Coturnix japonica: one gene and its partner. The protein of the gene in region 1 interacts with the protein of each later gene in a pairwise test. Links are inferred from orthologs where the notes say so. Each region holds a gene or a part of one and is shown in the gene's direction. Other genes may lie near its edges.

Evidence for each region.
Region 2: the proteins of RBFOX2 (region 1) and QKI interact in binary tests that used the Homo sapiens proteins (3 or more experiments, as listed by UniProt). The link is inferred for Coturnix japonica from reciprocal best matches to the Homo sapiens genes RBFOX2 and QKI.

The regions. Positions count from the first base shown.
Region 1 is NC_029516.1:47,336,586-47,344,323, forward strand, and holds the start of RBFOX2 (RNA binding protein fox-1 homolog 2), read left to right. Parts: upstream 1-3,846; 5' UTR 3,847-3,861; coding exon 3,862-4,059; intron 4,060-7,738. UniProt on the Homo sapiens protein: RNA-binding protein that regulates alternative splicing events by binding to 5'-UGCAUGU-3' elements. Prevents binding of U2AF2 to the 3'-splice site.
Region 2 is NC_029518.1:39,802,168-39,809,905, reverse strand, and holds the start of QKI (protein quaking), read left to right. Parts: upstream 1-3,694; 5' UTR 3,695-4,051; coding exon 4,052-4,475; intron 4,476-7,738. UniProt on the Homo sapiens protein: RNA reader protein, which recognizes and binds specific RNAs, thereby regulating RNA metabolic processes, such as pre-mRNA splicing, circular RNA (circRNA) formation, mRNA export, mRNA stability and/or translation.

The DNA.
Region 1 (7,738 bases):
GAAAAGAGTCTGGCACCTGGAGCTCAGCTGGCAGGAGGGAAACAGAAGAAATGAGGAGGGTTGGGCGAGACATTAAAATGTCACTGATCCGCTCAGCAGAGAGGCAGATTGCAGTAGAAAGGAGAGGGGCACAGCTGCAGGGGGTTGTGAGGGCGAGAGAGAGCCACGTGGGATGAGCCACGATGAGCAGATGATGGCAGCAGCAAGAAACTTTTCCCACTTGTGGTGGAGAAGAGAGGTTGGCTTTGAAGTGTCTCCTAATGATTTCTGTGCCTCTGAGTCAAAACTAATAGCTGCGTTTGTGCCTCATTTCACTCCTGTGCCTTAGAGCTTGTGTGAGTCACCATCTCTGTGCCATGCTCTGTGCTGCATAGACCTTTTGGGCATCCTGGTGGGACCTGATTGCAGTGGGAGCCCCAGCACGTATCCTTCAAGGAAACCCTTCATGGGGTGTTTTTCTGAGAAAACAAAACGAAACAGAAATAGATCAAGTTTAATGTAAAATGGTACCAACTGGAGAAGAGGGGGCTCAGGGAAGACCTCATTGTTCTCTACAGTGACCTGAAAGGAGGTTGTGGCAAGGTGGGAATCAGCCCTTTCTTCCAGGTAACAGCAATAGGGCAAGAGGGAATGGCCTCAAGTTGCACCAGGGGAGGTTCAGGTTGGATATGAGGAAAGATTTCTTCTCAGTAAGAGCGGTGCTGCAGTGGCACAGGCTGCACAGGGAGGTGGTGTAGTCATCATCCCTGGAGGTGTTCAGAGCCGTGTGGATGTGGCACTGAGGGATGTGGTCTGTGATTCTATGTATCGGCTTCTGAGAGTTCTCTGGAAGGACAGAATTTCTCATAGCTGCCTCTCAGTCTGTCAAAGACAAGGCATTGACAAGCACTTCACAGAATTGTGCATAACATAATGGCAAATAGGCAGGAGTGCTGTGCTGCAGAAAGGGTTAACAGCAGAGGCAGCTGTCTGGTTAGCAGTCTCAGATGGCACATACACATACCTAACAGGCAGCTGGGTTGTGTGAAAAGAAATCAACAGATTATGATTGTAGTCCCAGCTCCAAGGCTTTTTTGTGACTCCAGGAATGCCTCCCATCTCCTCTGCTAAATGGAAGTAATTCCCATCCCACAAGCACACTGCGAAGATCAATTCATTAATCTTTTCTTAAGTGGAAATGCATAGAGCCAGAGAAATGCTAAGACAAAGCATCACGGCAGAATCACAGAATGGCCCGAGTTGGAAGGGACCTCAAGGATCATGAACCTCCAATTCATGCCACAGGCATGGCCACCAACCTCCCCCTTTAATACTAGACCACCCTGCCCAGGGGTACATCCAGCCTGGCCTTGAACACCTGCAGGGATGGCAGCAATGACAGAAAGCAAGCACTAGCACACAGCACACCAGTGGAAACTGAGGGTTGGCTTGGCAGCGAAGGCACAGGGACTCTTGTTGACTATTCCACGCACACCAGCACTGAGGGCTCTCCAGGGTCTATTGCTGCCCTGCCAAAAATGCCTTGTCAGGGGACCTGCCCTCAGCATCACTCACAGGCCAGAGCTGAGAGGGATGGGAGTAGGGGAAGGTAGGTAGAAGTGGAGTGGGGTACCACAGAGCAACTCTGTCTTGCAGTATTTCTCAGGGAGAATATCAGACATATCACAGACGTGTGACTATCAGAGAGGGGGGCAATCAAGTGCGCTCATATAGATTTGTTTCTAAACTGTTTACTTCTAACTTGAATCCAGGCTGAATCCTGTAAGAAGCACTTGAAGCATCCTGCAACATCTCACAGGCAGTATCTTCACCTGTGATCTCCACTCACAGCTGCCCCACTGAAATTAGGATGAAGATAAGGATGAAGATGCTTTTCTCCCAAGGAGCAGCATCTCAGCCACGAGACTCTGCACTTCTTTTCGAGCTAAGGGCAGACTTGAACGTGTGCCTTCAGTGTTGTTTGACAGCCTGGCTCACTTTATCAAACCCGGTTGAGATGAATGAGACATGTGTTTACCCTCGGTGGGCGAGCAGACTGAAGCTGCGTGTAATTGTCCTCTGGGTGCCTGCCACTCCGTGGGGATTTGTAATCGTTCTGAAAAAAAAAAAAAGAGATTTCCCTGTCACTGGAGGAGACAAACTGGCACCTCATAGCAAAAACATACCACTTAAAATAGCTTTTAACGTGGCCTTGAAGACTATTTTTGGATGAAGAAAAATGTGGTGTATGGGAAGACTGGAGCCAAGCATTGTAACTGCCACTCGCAGCCAAAAGCTGTATGGTTTTCTTAATGTCAGCAGGCCTGTAGGGACCCACCAAGACCACCTAGTGGGTGTCCAGGCTGCACGGCACTCTCGAGAAGTAGAGCATGGCTTCCTTGTGTGTGTGCTGGCACATTGTGACCACTGCCATTTCTGGTTGACTCCTTTTGATCCGGTTGGATCAATGGGCTGAGGCCAATTGTATGAGCTTCAACAAGACCAAGTTTCGGGTGCTGCACTGTGATCACGGCAACCCCATGCAGTGCTATAGGTCTGGGGCAGAGCAGCTGGGAAGTTGTGTGGAGGAAAAAGATCTGGTGGTGTTCGTTGACAGCCAGATGAATGTGAGCCAGCAGTGTGCCTGGTAGCCTAGAAGGCCAACGGCATCCCGGCTTGTACCAGCATTAGTGCAGCCAGCAGGAGCAGGGAGGTGACCATCCCTCTGTACTCAGCTCTGGTGAGGCCGCACCTCCAGTGCTGTGTTCAGTTCTGGGCCCCTCACTGCCAGAAAGACATGGAGGCCCTGGAGCGTGTCCATAGAAGGGCAGTGGAGCTGTGAGGGGTCTGGAGCACAAGTGTGATGGGGAGCAGCTGAGGGAAATGGGGTTGGTCAGTCTGGAGGAGGCTCAGAGGAGACCTTATTGCTCTCTATAACGACCTGAAAGGAGGTTGTGGTGAGGTGGGGGTCGGCCTCTGCTCCCAGATAACAGTGATAGGATGAAAGGGAATGGCCTCAAGGTGCACCAGGGGAGGTTCAGGTTGGATATGAGGAAAGATTGAGATATGAGGAAGGTGCTGCAGTGGCACAAGCTGCACAGGGAGGTGGTGCAGTCACCGTCCCTGGAGGTGTTCAGAGCCGTGTGGATGTGGCACTGAGGGATGTGGTCAGTGGGCATGGTGGGGATGGGCTGCTGGTTGGACCAGATACTCTTAGAGGTCTTTTCCAACCTTAACGATTCCGTGATTGTTTTCCTCTGACACAGGGTTACAGACACGGGCCGATGTACAGGCCTTAGGCTTCTGTTATGCTTAGTTACACATCAGAAACACGCTGTGAGGGTCCGAAAGTGGATCACCGCTCGCCCAGTCAGCGCATCCCCACACTCGGGGCTCCCATCAGCGCGGCGCTCTGAGGCGAAGCCACCGACCTCACCCGCAGGTAGCAGCCTCAGCCCCCCGCCTTCCTCCCGCAGCGCAGACGCCTCACGCCGGCGGGAGGCGGCGGGCACGGCGAGGCCGTATCGAGGCGGCCATTTTCCGCCCTCCGCCGTGCGCCCCGTGCCCCGCCGCGGCCCCGCCCCGCCCCGCCGTCCCTCCCCTCCCCTCGCCCCGCCCTCCGCCGTCGCCGAAGGTTGCCGAGTGGGGGTCGCGCGGCTTCGGCACCTCCGGAGATTGCCGAGGGGCTTCGGCCCCTCCCCGGCCGCCGCCGAGCCCGTGACCGAGGCGCTCCGGTGGGTCGGAGCCCGCCGCGCTCGCACGCAGCTCCTCCGCCCGCTCCTTCTCCTCGTCCTCCTGCTGCTGTCCTCCGGCGGGGCCGGGCGGCGCGGTGACAGAGCGGGGCGACCGCGGCGGGGGGCGGCCGGGGCTCCGGCGGCGCGGATGGCGGAGGGCGGCCAGCCCCCGCAGCAGCAGCAGCAGCCACAGCCGCAGCTCCTGACCGGCGGCGGCGGCGGGGCCGCCCGCGGCGTGAAGCGGGAGCCGGAGCTGGAGCAACCCATGCCCGGCGGGGACGGCGCCGAGGGCGGCCACAGCAAGCGGCTGCGGACGGAGGCGGAGGCGGAGGGCGGCGGCATGCAGGTAGCGAGGCCGCGGGGCCCGGCCCGCACACGCACGGCGTGTCCCGGGGCCGCGCGGAGGGCGCGGGGTGCGGGGTGCGGCGGGGCCGTAAGCGGCGCCGTGCCCAGGTGCGGGCTGTGCCCCTCGCCGGGGCGTGGGTGCTTCCCTTTGTCTGTGTGCGCGTGGATCGCTTTATTGTGGATCGCTTTATTGTGGGTCGCTTCATTATGGCAAAGCGGGATAGGATTTTTTTTTTCCTTTTTTTTTTTTTTTCCCCCCTTTTTTCTTGGCTTCAGTTCCTCGTAGCACATCTATGGTGGGAGCAGTGCAATGTATCCATCCCAACTTCTCCTCGCTCGGTCTCTCTTACCGGTGAGAGTTTCAGCTCGCCGCAGCATCCCCGGCTCCTCTCGTTGTCCCGTGACTCTCCCTCCCCATTCCCCGGCTGCCCCTGGTCCTCGCGGGCCCTCCTGGAGGCCTCCCGCTCGTGCCGTGTGGCGCTGCTGCAGCCTCGTGCCTCTGAGGGAGCACAGCGAGTCGTGGGCCGGCTGGGGGAGCTGGGGCTGTGCGGAGGAGCTCAGGGGAGACCTCATCGCTCCCTACAGTGACCTGAGAGGAGGTTGTGCTGAGGTGGGGGTCGGCCTCTGCTCCCAGGTAACAGTGATAGGGTGAGAGGGAATGGCCTCAGGTCGCACCAGGGGAGGTTCAGGTTGGATATGAGGAAAGATTTCTTCCCTGGAAGAGCGGTGCTGCAGTGGCACAGGCTGCCCAGGGAGGTGGTGCAGTCACCGTCCCTGGAGGTGTTCCAGAGCTGTGTGGATGTGGCACTGAGGGACGTGGTCAGTGGGCATGGTGGGGATGGGCTGCTGGTTGGACCAGGTGATCTTAGATCCAGCTTTAATGGTTTTGTGATTCTGTGAGGCTGCAGCTTTGCCTGCACGTGAGGCCTGGGCATGGCATGAGGGTGCTGGGTGCCACTGGGTCCTGTGCTGCTGTGGGACATGTACCCGTTGTGCTGCAGCTGGTGCCAAGCTGGGTGGTATCCATGTGGACCAGTCAACCTACTGACAGTTCCCCACCAAGGGACTTGATCTGGTTTAACAGCCCTAAAATTCAGTTTTTTACATATACGTTGTCTGTATCCATTAAAGCTGTGCTCCACATTCAGATGAAGGAAAGTATTTTGTTTTCTGCTCATTGACTGCTTCGAGGCAGTAGGATTGCAGTGGTGGGGCTCCCTCAGTGGGCACACACAGCCATGTTAGCACAGTAGGAATGGATGGGGCTGGGTATCAATGCCCAACACTGCCAAACATCCGGGAAATTAAATTCTACATCTTTGTCCCAAGAAGCGAAGATGGACCATAAGGTGGCTTTCATCAGTGTTTCTGTTCACATAGTGTGGTCTTTTGAAGTTACTTTGCTTTCAAATAACGGGTCTTTCTTTAGCATTTTCTCTGTGTTTAACTGTATGTAATGCTTACAAGCAGAATAAAGAGCCTATTCTTTGATTACTTCTTTTGCTTTTTTCATATGTACTGCAGGCTTTCTGGAGGCTGGAATTAACACCAGCGACTGTTGTACCTTGTTTTTCCTGCAGATCCTGTCAATTTTCTACTTCCTGCTCCCGGGCCACGGGCTGCTGCTGTGCAAACTCCATGACCTCGTGTTTCGAGGCTGATTGGGAGGGATCCCGGGGTGCCGCGCTTGCCACGGTTCCTTCCGTGCACAACTGATGGCTCAGGATGTGAACGCCGCTTCTGGTGCTGGGAGCAATCATTTAGCTACAGCAATTAGTAACGCAACTGGAAAATGAAGAGTGGCTTTTTTGTTGTTGTTGCTGGTGTTGTCTGGTAACGTGAAATATCAAGCCTAGTCTATGGGAAGGTAGCGGCTGGTTGCCGAGAACTTGAGGCAAAGAGAGCCTGAGAGCTGCCAGTAGCCCTTATGTTTATGGGGCTTCTTGCTTTTTGCTGCGTGCTCAGACAGCTTATGCCGTTAGGGTTTCATTATCTAATCCATCTCTGATCAGGCCGGATAAACGGTGTTTGGCCAGAGCTGATCTTGTTAGGAGGGTGGTGCAAAGCTGCTTGAGTTGGGATTGGGACAAATCGGATCATGGCTGCTATCTGCTCCTGGGACTGATCGCAGTTAATCGTGGCACGGGAGGAATGGTCGTGCACAACCTGCTGCTTTCCAGCTCCCTTTAGTGTGTGAGTGGCAAAAACCGCTGGCCAGGAATGTCTCCTGAAAGTATTTGGGTGTGTTTGTAAGCTTTGGAAAAGAAGGGCCCCAGAGGTACTGCTGCTTTTTAACTGTTTAGATCCTAGCTAGGAATGGGATCACTCGTTGCTTGCAGGCTTGGGTGAGTGGAATCGTTTGGATCAGCCCCCTGATCTGCGTAAAAATCATCCCCAACAGAGGGGATGACAGTATACTGGCCTCAGTCACTGGTGAAACTTCACCCCGAGGCAGTTGTTGATGCAGCTGTATTTGATGCTTTTCAGACGGGGTTGCTGTACAGATGGAAAGTTCTCCTGCAGTAAGCTTGTCTTTAATCGTGCGAGGAACACTGGGAACAGCGGCCAGTGGGGAAGAGCCCCTTCTTTCTCTTCAGGGCTGTAGATGAGGCTGTCAAGTCAAGATGCTGTGTTCCTTCCCTGTCGTTGTGCTAAAGGTGTGCCAGCTGGCTTAAGCTGCTGAGGGAAGTTGTTATTAAACTAGCTTGTAGCTTTGCATGGGGTTGAATGAGTTGATTCGGTCCCCAAGGTGAATTTTGATTTAATTTTTCTGAGGTCTGCTCTGGTTAGTGAATTAAAAGTGTGTCTGAGAGTAATGTGGTAGGAGTTAGATGAAGAGTGTGCGGAATTGATCCTTCTTCAAGAACGACTTCTGTGCTCAGTATCCCCGAGTCCCTGGGATGTGGCTGATCAGGGAGGGTGTTTAACACAGCTTCTGGCCTGCGCCTTATCTAGTCCACGTGAACTTTTAATGGCTGCAACAAGTGACTTTGTGTTGCCATTCTGGCATGTTAGCATGGGGTTTGTAAAGATGGCTGGTGCTTTGGCATCAGTCCTTTGTAGCAGAAGAGGTCCAGGCAGGGATGCGATGGCTGTTGCCAGTTTGAGGTGAAAATTCCTGCGTGGTCTGAAATGGAGCTGTGTGCTTAACCTCGAGTGGTGTGCATGGGAGGGATCTCAATGACTGGCCTGTTCCGTGGTTTCATGGTTCAAGCTGTGGACCCTCTGTGGTTCTTCAGATGAGGATGAGAGATGGATCTGCTACTAATTTCCAAAGATGGTTTTGAGGCTTTTATGAGTAGAGGGGCTGACTGGGGCTGTGAAACAGAAGAGGCCTGTGAACAACAGCTTCTGAACCGCGTGTGACCCTGTGGAAATCGGAGTATTTAAATCTCATGGAGGGGAACACCTAGTTCCAATTCATCATGGCAAAGCATGACTCAAAATCAGGTTAGCTTTTCCCCCCTCTTATTATTCATGCCGTGACCGTCTTCGTAAAGAAGCAGCAACACAAAATGTCTGAGATATCCAAGATGAGGAATGGAATTCCACTTTTACAAAGCTGACCCCTGCCTTGGGTCCAGGATGAAGTTGGTGGGATGCTGTTTGGACAGGCTGTTGTGGAGGTACTGAGGTGTAGGGAATCACCTTTTCCTTTGTTGTTACTTCTCTGTTTGCTT
Region 2 (7,738 bases), on another chromosome or scaffold:
AAGTAGGTAAATTTTATGTTCAATATATCTCAGTTTTGTCTTCTTTAACTAACTGTTGGTTATATTTTTTTCTATTCTTTATGAGATTTCTTTCTTTTCCTCCTTCTTCTTGTTTTCTGCCTTTCTTAGAACTATTACAGTAAAAGTGGCATATGAGAAACATCCTTCTCATCTTGTCTCCTTAATTCCAACCAGGAAGATAATGGGTTAGTGTACCGTTCTTAAGACAACTGTTATGCAGCTTGGAGTACCTTCAGTATGGGGAGATACAAGAAAAGGATCCTACCTAACCAAGGTGTGCTTAACATCTCTACCTTCCACTCTACAGCAAATGCTCAGTGCTGACTGTGAACACAAATAAGGTGCAGAGATTACCCAAAATGTGTTCTGATTCAATTTACTGAGCTTAACAGCTGAAATTTGTGCTAGGCTTTAAAATGAAGTCAGAGCATCTTTTCCAGTCTGCTGTGTCAGGAAAACATTCAAACTGGAATGAAGCATCCAATTCCATAGACAGTTACGCCTGACACAGAGAGTAGACAGGTTAAGTTTTTAGCATGAACAACTAAAGAACTTGAAGTGGTCATTGGAAAAAACTCATATATGCTTTACTATTATCTAATAGTTCTGTTCAAAAAGTTAGCTGTCAGTTTGGCTTAATGTCAAAGGAAATAGCTTTTCAGCACTTGTCACGGCATCACAGAACCTGAATATTGTTGATGTTCTTGATATTTTCAGTCTGGCTCTAAACATTACTCTGTTCGTATTTTAGTCACCTTGGAGAGATGAATGAATTTCAGATGTTCTGCTGGTAGTGGCCACATCTGCTGCATCATAGGTACAGCTGCTACCGCCTTGTACACTGTGAATGAATTGACAACAGTCCTGGAGTAGTATTTTTCCTTGGATGACTGTAATGGGTAAGGGAAGAACTGCTTCCTTTCCTGAAGGAGGGCAACATGGCACGTTGGTGTCTTCCTGTTATAGAAAGCATTTCAGAAAGCTGATGCCATCCAACTGTATGTGCCTATGACTAAGTCAACAGAGATGCTTTAAAGAATGTTTCCCAGTAGTCATCAACCTTTAGCACTCCTACTTCCCAAGCTGCTATCAGATAGGAACACTATAGCAGTAATTGAATTTGCTTTTTATGATCGGTGTGAGGCCTTTACTGCCATAGACAGAGACTGCTGCCGGCATAATCATATTTTTTTCTTATTTCAAGATTAGATTAATGCAATAAAACTTCACCTTTAAAAAATAAGCTGCTGGAGAATACTACAGTTTATATGACACAAGAAAGGCTACCTAGATAAAACGCAGGAGTTAAAGATAAGGACTTCTGTTGGTGTTCCGACAGAAACTAATGGGTTATGTAGTTACCTGAAGAAACTTGACAAGCCATAGGACCTGATTAATGTCCAACAAAAAACTAAAGGAACAAAAAAGATGCCCGCCCCCACCAATACTACACCATCTCCCTCCCAACCCACAATCCCTGTTTACCCAGCCCTGCCCCCTCTATATTTCTTCCCCCCCTGGGAAAACTCCAAAGTTCAATCCAAAGCAGGAGTATTTCTGCTGCTTCTGTAGATTAGGTTGCAGGCAGGCCAGTCTTTTTGGGAGTTATACCTTCACGCTGATCTTGAAGCAGAACTAATTCAACCTTTACTCCCATGCATTCCCATTTCCTGGAAGTGCAGGAAGGTGGAAGAACACAGAACACAAGGTATGCAGACAGGCTTTTATGTAGATTTTCTGTTTTTGCAGAATACTTGATGAAGAAAGATGTCATACTGATCTACTTATTTAAAACTAATGGCGCGATGTCTACATTTTGTCACAGCATTCGGCTTCTCCAAGGGCATTTTTCCAATGATTTAAGTTCAGTCTCGAGGCACTTGTGACAAAATAAAAGATGAGAGGTTTTCCCTAAGTCATTTATCCTTAATTACGCAGGCAGCCTCAGCATGTAGCTCTGCCTCCATTTTTGTACCGTTCAGATTAGAAAAACAATTCAGATTAACGCGTGGCAAAGCAGAGCTTGAATTTGCATTGAAATGCATGAGTGATTCCAGTAACTGCTGGTGTGCAACATCTTGTTCACCAGTAAATAAATGGAAAATAGCTTAGTAGAAGATTTATTGTTCTCAGTAGGCAAGACAACAGATAGTTATTGCACATCTGATGTTGGTGTTTCTTACCTTATATTGTGTACTTGCTTCACCTGCTCATATCCAAACAGTGGAAGCACTTTATGTGCAGGAAGCAATAATGAAGCAGCATGGGAACAGCTGTACCGAATCTTCTGAAAAAAATAAAAAATCTCCATATGCTATTTTTACTGTGAGAACTGGTAGTCCAGAATTATTATTCTGACATTATCTAAGCTCATCTAATTGTAAGATGCAGCCTGACACTGACGGCCTCAATCAGATCAGAGCAGTTCTCCCACTCGCTGCTCAAAAACTAGCAGATAAATAAATGGTAACAATAACACACCACCCTTCAGGCTGATCACAGAATTGTAGGGGTTGGAAGGGACCTCTAGAGATCATCGAGTCCAACCCCCCTGCCAAAGCACGCTCCCTACACCACGTCACACAGGTAGGCGTCCAGGAGGGTCTTGAATATCTCCAGAGAAGGAGACTCCACCACCTCCCTGGGCAGCCTGTTCCAGAAAAGGACGGCGGTCTGGTTTGGCATGTAAGGTTTGGTATTGCTCATCATGCTTCTAGAACAAGAGAGGAATGGAACAAATACAGCCTTGTCACTGAATAGCAGCAGCACCGTGTCATCATCCATAGCCATGCTGCAGGGTGCTCCGGGCATGCAACACAGGGACCAGCAACACACATCTGAAGAAAGCAAAGCAAAACAGCCTGCAAAGTCGCTACTCTCTTTCATAATAAAGATGATTTAAAAAAAATAAATAAATAATGGAAGCAATGAGGCTTATCTTACATAAACCATTACATTTTACTTCACATAAACCAAACGGAAGCGAAATACAAATCATTGTGTCTATCTCAGATAAAGAGTTATCGGAGATGGCCGCGGTCCCTTTCCCCGAGGCGGAGCCCCCCGTACCTCACCCCGTACCTCACCCCGCACCTCACCCCGCACCTCACCCCGCACCTCACCCCGCACCTCACCCCGCACCTCATCCCACGCCGCTCCCGCTCCAGCCGCGCTGCCGCTTTAAGGATTATTACAACCCGCTCCTCTCTCCGCTCGCACCGCCCCTCTCCCCCCACTCCTCCTCCACGGCGGCGCATGCTCGGCGCTGCCGACCGCCTCCCTCCCTCGGCGGCTCCGTGTGCTCCTCTCACCGCGCGAGACGCTCGGCGCTGGGGCTCTCCCCGCCCCGTCCCCTCCCGGCAGCGCAGCGGGCTCAGCGCCTCGACTTTGTTTGGCAGCTCCGGGTGCGCGCAGCCTCCGAGCGGGTGTGTCGGAGGGAGCCCCGCCCCCCGGCCCCGCCGTGCGCGGGCAGCCGGCAGCCGGCAGCGGTTGGCTCCGCCAAGCGGCGCTGCTGCCGCCGCGTAACGGCCGCCCCGCCCGGCGTCCCGCCCCCGGCATGTCCCCGCCCCCGCGGGCCCTGCCCCCTCCCCTCCTCCTGCCGCCGCTGCCGCTGCTGCCAGCGCAGCCTGAACTGAAGCGAACTCCAGAGCGAACTGAGGAGAAGTGAGGAGGCGGCGGCGGGGCTGACGCTCACAGCCACAGGCGGCGGCGGCGGCGGCAGCGGGAGGGCGGGCGGGCGGCAGGCGGCAGGCGCAGAGGAGGACGCGCCCGGCGCAGCGCGGCGGCGACAACAGCGGCACCGGCGGAGAGAGCCCGGCGGCGGCGGCGGCTCCTTGGCAGCGCCAGCGCCCGCCCGCCCCGCTCGTCCCCTCCCCGCCTCCCTCCCTCCCTTCCCCCGCCGCGGAGCGGAGCCGGGCTCGGCGCGGGAGGAGCGGCGGCGGCAGCAGGAGCGGGGACGCGGCCGGGACCGCACCGGCCGAGGGCGCGCGGAGCGGGGGAGCGGCGGCCCCGAGAGGCGGCGGCAGCGGCGATGACTCCGCGCGGCCGGGGCGGAGGGCGCGCCCACAGCGGGGTCTCTCCGACTTTGCTTTTTTTTTCCTTGTTCCCCGCCGGCCCCTCGGACTCGGGAGCGCGGCGCTCGCGGCTCGGAATCCTCCTCCTCCTCCTCCTCCTCCTCCTTCCTCGGGGAGCTCCCTCCCCGCCCCGCCCCTCCCCCGCCGGCCCGCCCGATCCCGCCGGGCGCCCCGTGTCGCCGTCGCCTCGCTCGGCGGAGCTGCTGCGGGCGCTCGCCCTGTGCGCGCGGGCTTGGAATATGGTTGGGGAAATGGAAGCCAAGGAGAAGCCGAAGCCGAGCCCCGATTACCTGATGCAGCTGATGAACAACAAGAAGCTGATGAGCAGCCTCCCCAACTTCTGCGGGATCTTCAACCACCTCGAGTGGCTGCTGGACGAAGGTACGCGCCCCGCCCGGCCCTTCCCTCCCCGAGCCGGGCCCCTCGCGGCGGCGGGGGCAGCGCCGGGCCTGCTCCGCTCCGCGCTGCCGGTGCGCCCCAAACAAAGGGGAAGTGCGGGCTCTCCCCGCCCCGGCCGCTGCCTGCGCGCCGCGGGTCCCGGCTCTCGGCGTTCCCTCCGCAGTGTTTTTAGTATTATTTTATTTTCTCTTTTCTCCCGTCCTCGGGAGCCCGGGGGGGGGAGGGAGAGAGGCGCGGAGCTGAGGAATGCGCTCCGGGGGGAGGAGGAGGAGCGGGGCCCGCGGCGCGGCCGGGCCGGTGCCGGAGGGGGGAGCGGGGCCTACGGGGGGCGGGGGGCCGAGCTCCGGCCGCGGCGCGCCCCACCCGAGCCGAGCGGCCGAGGAACGCTGGCGGTCCCCTCGAGTGGGGAGTGGAGAGCAGAGGGCCGGCTCTCCTCCCTGCTCTCCCTGCTGCAGAAACTAACTTGAAAGACTCGTATGTGCGAGTTGAGCGGGGAGAAAAACACCCCGTGCTTACGAAATGGCCTCGTTGGCTCCGGCCGGGCGCCGGCGGCCCCGGGGGCAGCTCCTGCTCTGGGAAAGGGGGGGGTGCCCCTCTTTGTGCGCGGCCCCGTAGGGCCACGTTCTGTTGATGGGTAACGGCGTCTGGGGGAAAGGGAAAGTAAAGGCTGGCAACTAGGTGCGTCCCACACGGCTCTCTCCATGTGATAATAGCCCCACTGTACTGGACGTCAGGCCGGGCGATCGTTCGTGGCACTTAAATTTGCTTTGTGCCTGGGTTCGCGCGTTTAGTTTTCTCGTTAGAAGCATTTTGTTTCACTCCACCTCAAACTCATGCTTTGCACTGAGTTAGACCTGTTTGGCGTATTTGTAACACGTTCTGAAGCTAGGAATTATTTATGCAGCCTCAACTTCTTGAGATTCTTTGCGTGAAGTTACCCGGTTTCATAATCTCAGAGTTAGGATTCCTGGTGGTGGACATAGTCCTCCTTGATAACAGAACTTTGGGAAGTTGTTGACCTCGGGAGATGAAGGCTCTGGTTATATTTGGTAGAACAACTCCCCGCCCTCTCCGAGACTGTGAAAAACAGATAGTGGTTGTAGTGCTGCAAACCCGACCTATTTGGAATGGTGGCTTCGGAATGAGCAATGGAGCAGCACAAAAAAGTGGACGACGCAGGAGATGGACCGTGGGAGCGGTATCATGGGAAGTTCTGGTTTTACTTTCAAGAATTTGGGGAGGTGAACTTCCAGCAGAGCACATCTGGATGTGGAAAGCAAAACTACATAGAACATGGTGTTTTCTTGTTCACTCCACCAAGCGTTCTTTTCACAACATTTAGAAGTATAGGAAACAGTGGGAAGAAACATAACTGAGAAGATTTCTTCATTTTTTTTTTGTTTGTTTTCTGAAGCCAGAAGAGCCTCACAGGGACTTGGTGTTGGAGTTCTGAATTTCGAAACCTCTTCAGCTCGATATACTCGAACCAGAGGAGGCCCAGATTGTTCTGTTTGTTTTGTTGCTGTTGTTTTTTTTCCTCAGAGAACAAAAGAGAGGAAAACATTTTCTGTACAAAAAAGCACACAAAGGAATATCTAAAATCCAGGCACCCTCTGACATTTTGATTTTCTTTTTCGAAATACTAAACGCTCTGGACAGCTGTTTTCTGAACTATTCCAATTCCCAAACGAGGGCTGTGGGGACTCTGAGAGAAAAAGTTGTCGAAGAGTTGTGTTGAAGCTCTTCTTTGTGCACTTCATTAAAATAAACCAAATAGTGTGTTTCTAAACAGTCTCAAGAATATTTCTGCAATCCCTTTAAGCGATTTTGCTTTTCCTGTTTACGTTGGCAGTTGGATGGAAGTATTGTGGAGGCTGAAAACTTTTTGGAATGTTGGAGAAAAAAAAGCAAACTGTTTCATGCAAATGAGTCAATTGCTTGAAGACTTCAAAATCTGAACACTAAGGGGCGCCAGTTATTTTTCTTCTGAAGCGTGAGGCCGGCCTCTGAACGCCATTAGGAACTTGAATAGCGAAATTAACTCATCTAGGAGCACATACCAAAGATCGACGGAAATAGCTGTGGAATTGCGTGCGTGTCTTTGTTGGTACGGACTTGTACATGGCCTGTGCCGTATAGGCAGTATTGCATAGGTGGGATAGTCATTGTGATGCACAGCTGAGAGGCCAGAGCAGCTCGTTCTGTGCAACAGCTGTCCTGGCTGCCTAAAGGCTCCCTCTTCACTGCCTTCAGCTGTTTGCTGCGTTGACATTCTCCAGCAGAGTTTTGTAGCTTGCTGGAAGAGTCTGTAAGATTCAGAACGTTTCCTTAGAAGTGTAATATTTAACACTTCCATGAGTTGTTTCCTTGCACCCATGAGAGTATGAAAACAAGAGGGACGGGTGTCTGCATGTGTTGGTTGTATGTGTGTAAAAGCACGTAGTGTTGGTGTTTCCCCTTGACACTGTGGGGTTGGTGTGCTGCTTCTTGCTTGGAATTCTGTGGTTCAGGTGGTGCTTATTGTAGGGCCATCCTCCCGAAGGTGCTGTGTATGTTTGAGAAGTCCAGTACTTCCAGACAACTGTTGGACTGTCAGCCTTTGTATTTTATTTTCTACCAGCCTAAACAAAGAACGCACGCCACAAACCTGGGAGCTCAGAAGCAGCGTAGCATTGCTTTCTCTACCAGAATGCCCATCTTCTTAATTTTATTTGCTTTACACGTTGAAATTTAAAAGCTAAAATCAGACCGGTGTGTGTATTGATCACTCCTTGAACACAGAAATCTTCTGTACACAGAAATGAACTCAGAGATTTAGACTAACTGTACATCTAATCTGAGTAGGTCTCAGAACACGCATCTCATTTTTGACCTATTCCTGATAGCCAAAGTACATCTTCCTTTCTGAGCTCTGTCCTCTTGTCTGATCTCTGAAAATCGTAGTGCTTAATTTAGTAGATGGTCTCAGCTTGACAGCATTTGTTTTTAAGATGGGCATTAATGTGAGCAGTGTATGGAGGAAACTTCTGTTAATGAACTATTTCCTAATAAAATAGGAAAGTCACAGCTTTGTTTAGGTTACAGATATTTTTGCATAAGTGTGCTTTCAACTTCTTGTGTGTAAATAAGGCTTTTGTGGAGCAGTGAGGATGTTTAAAGCGCACATCATAATAACTAGGAAACTGGATTGTTTTTATCAGCCTAGTGCAAACCTGTGGGAAGAGAGGGCTTTTCCTGAACGTGGA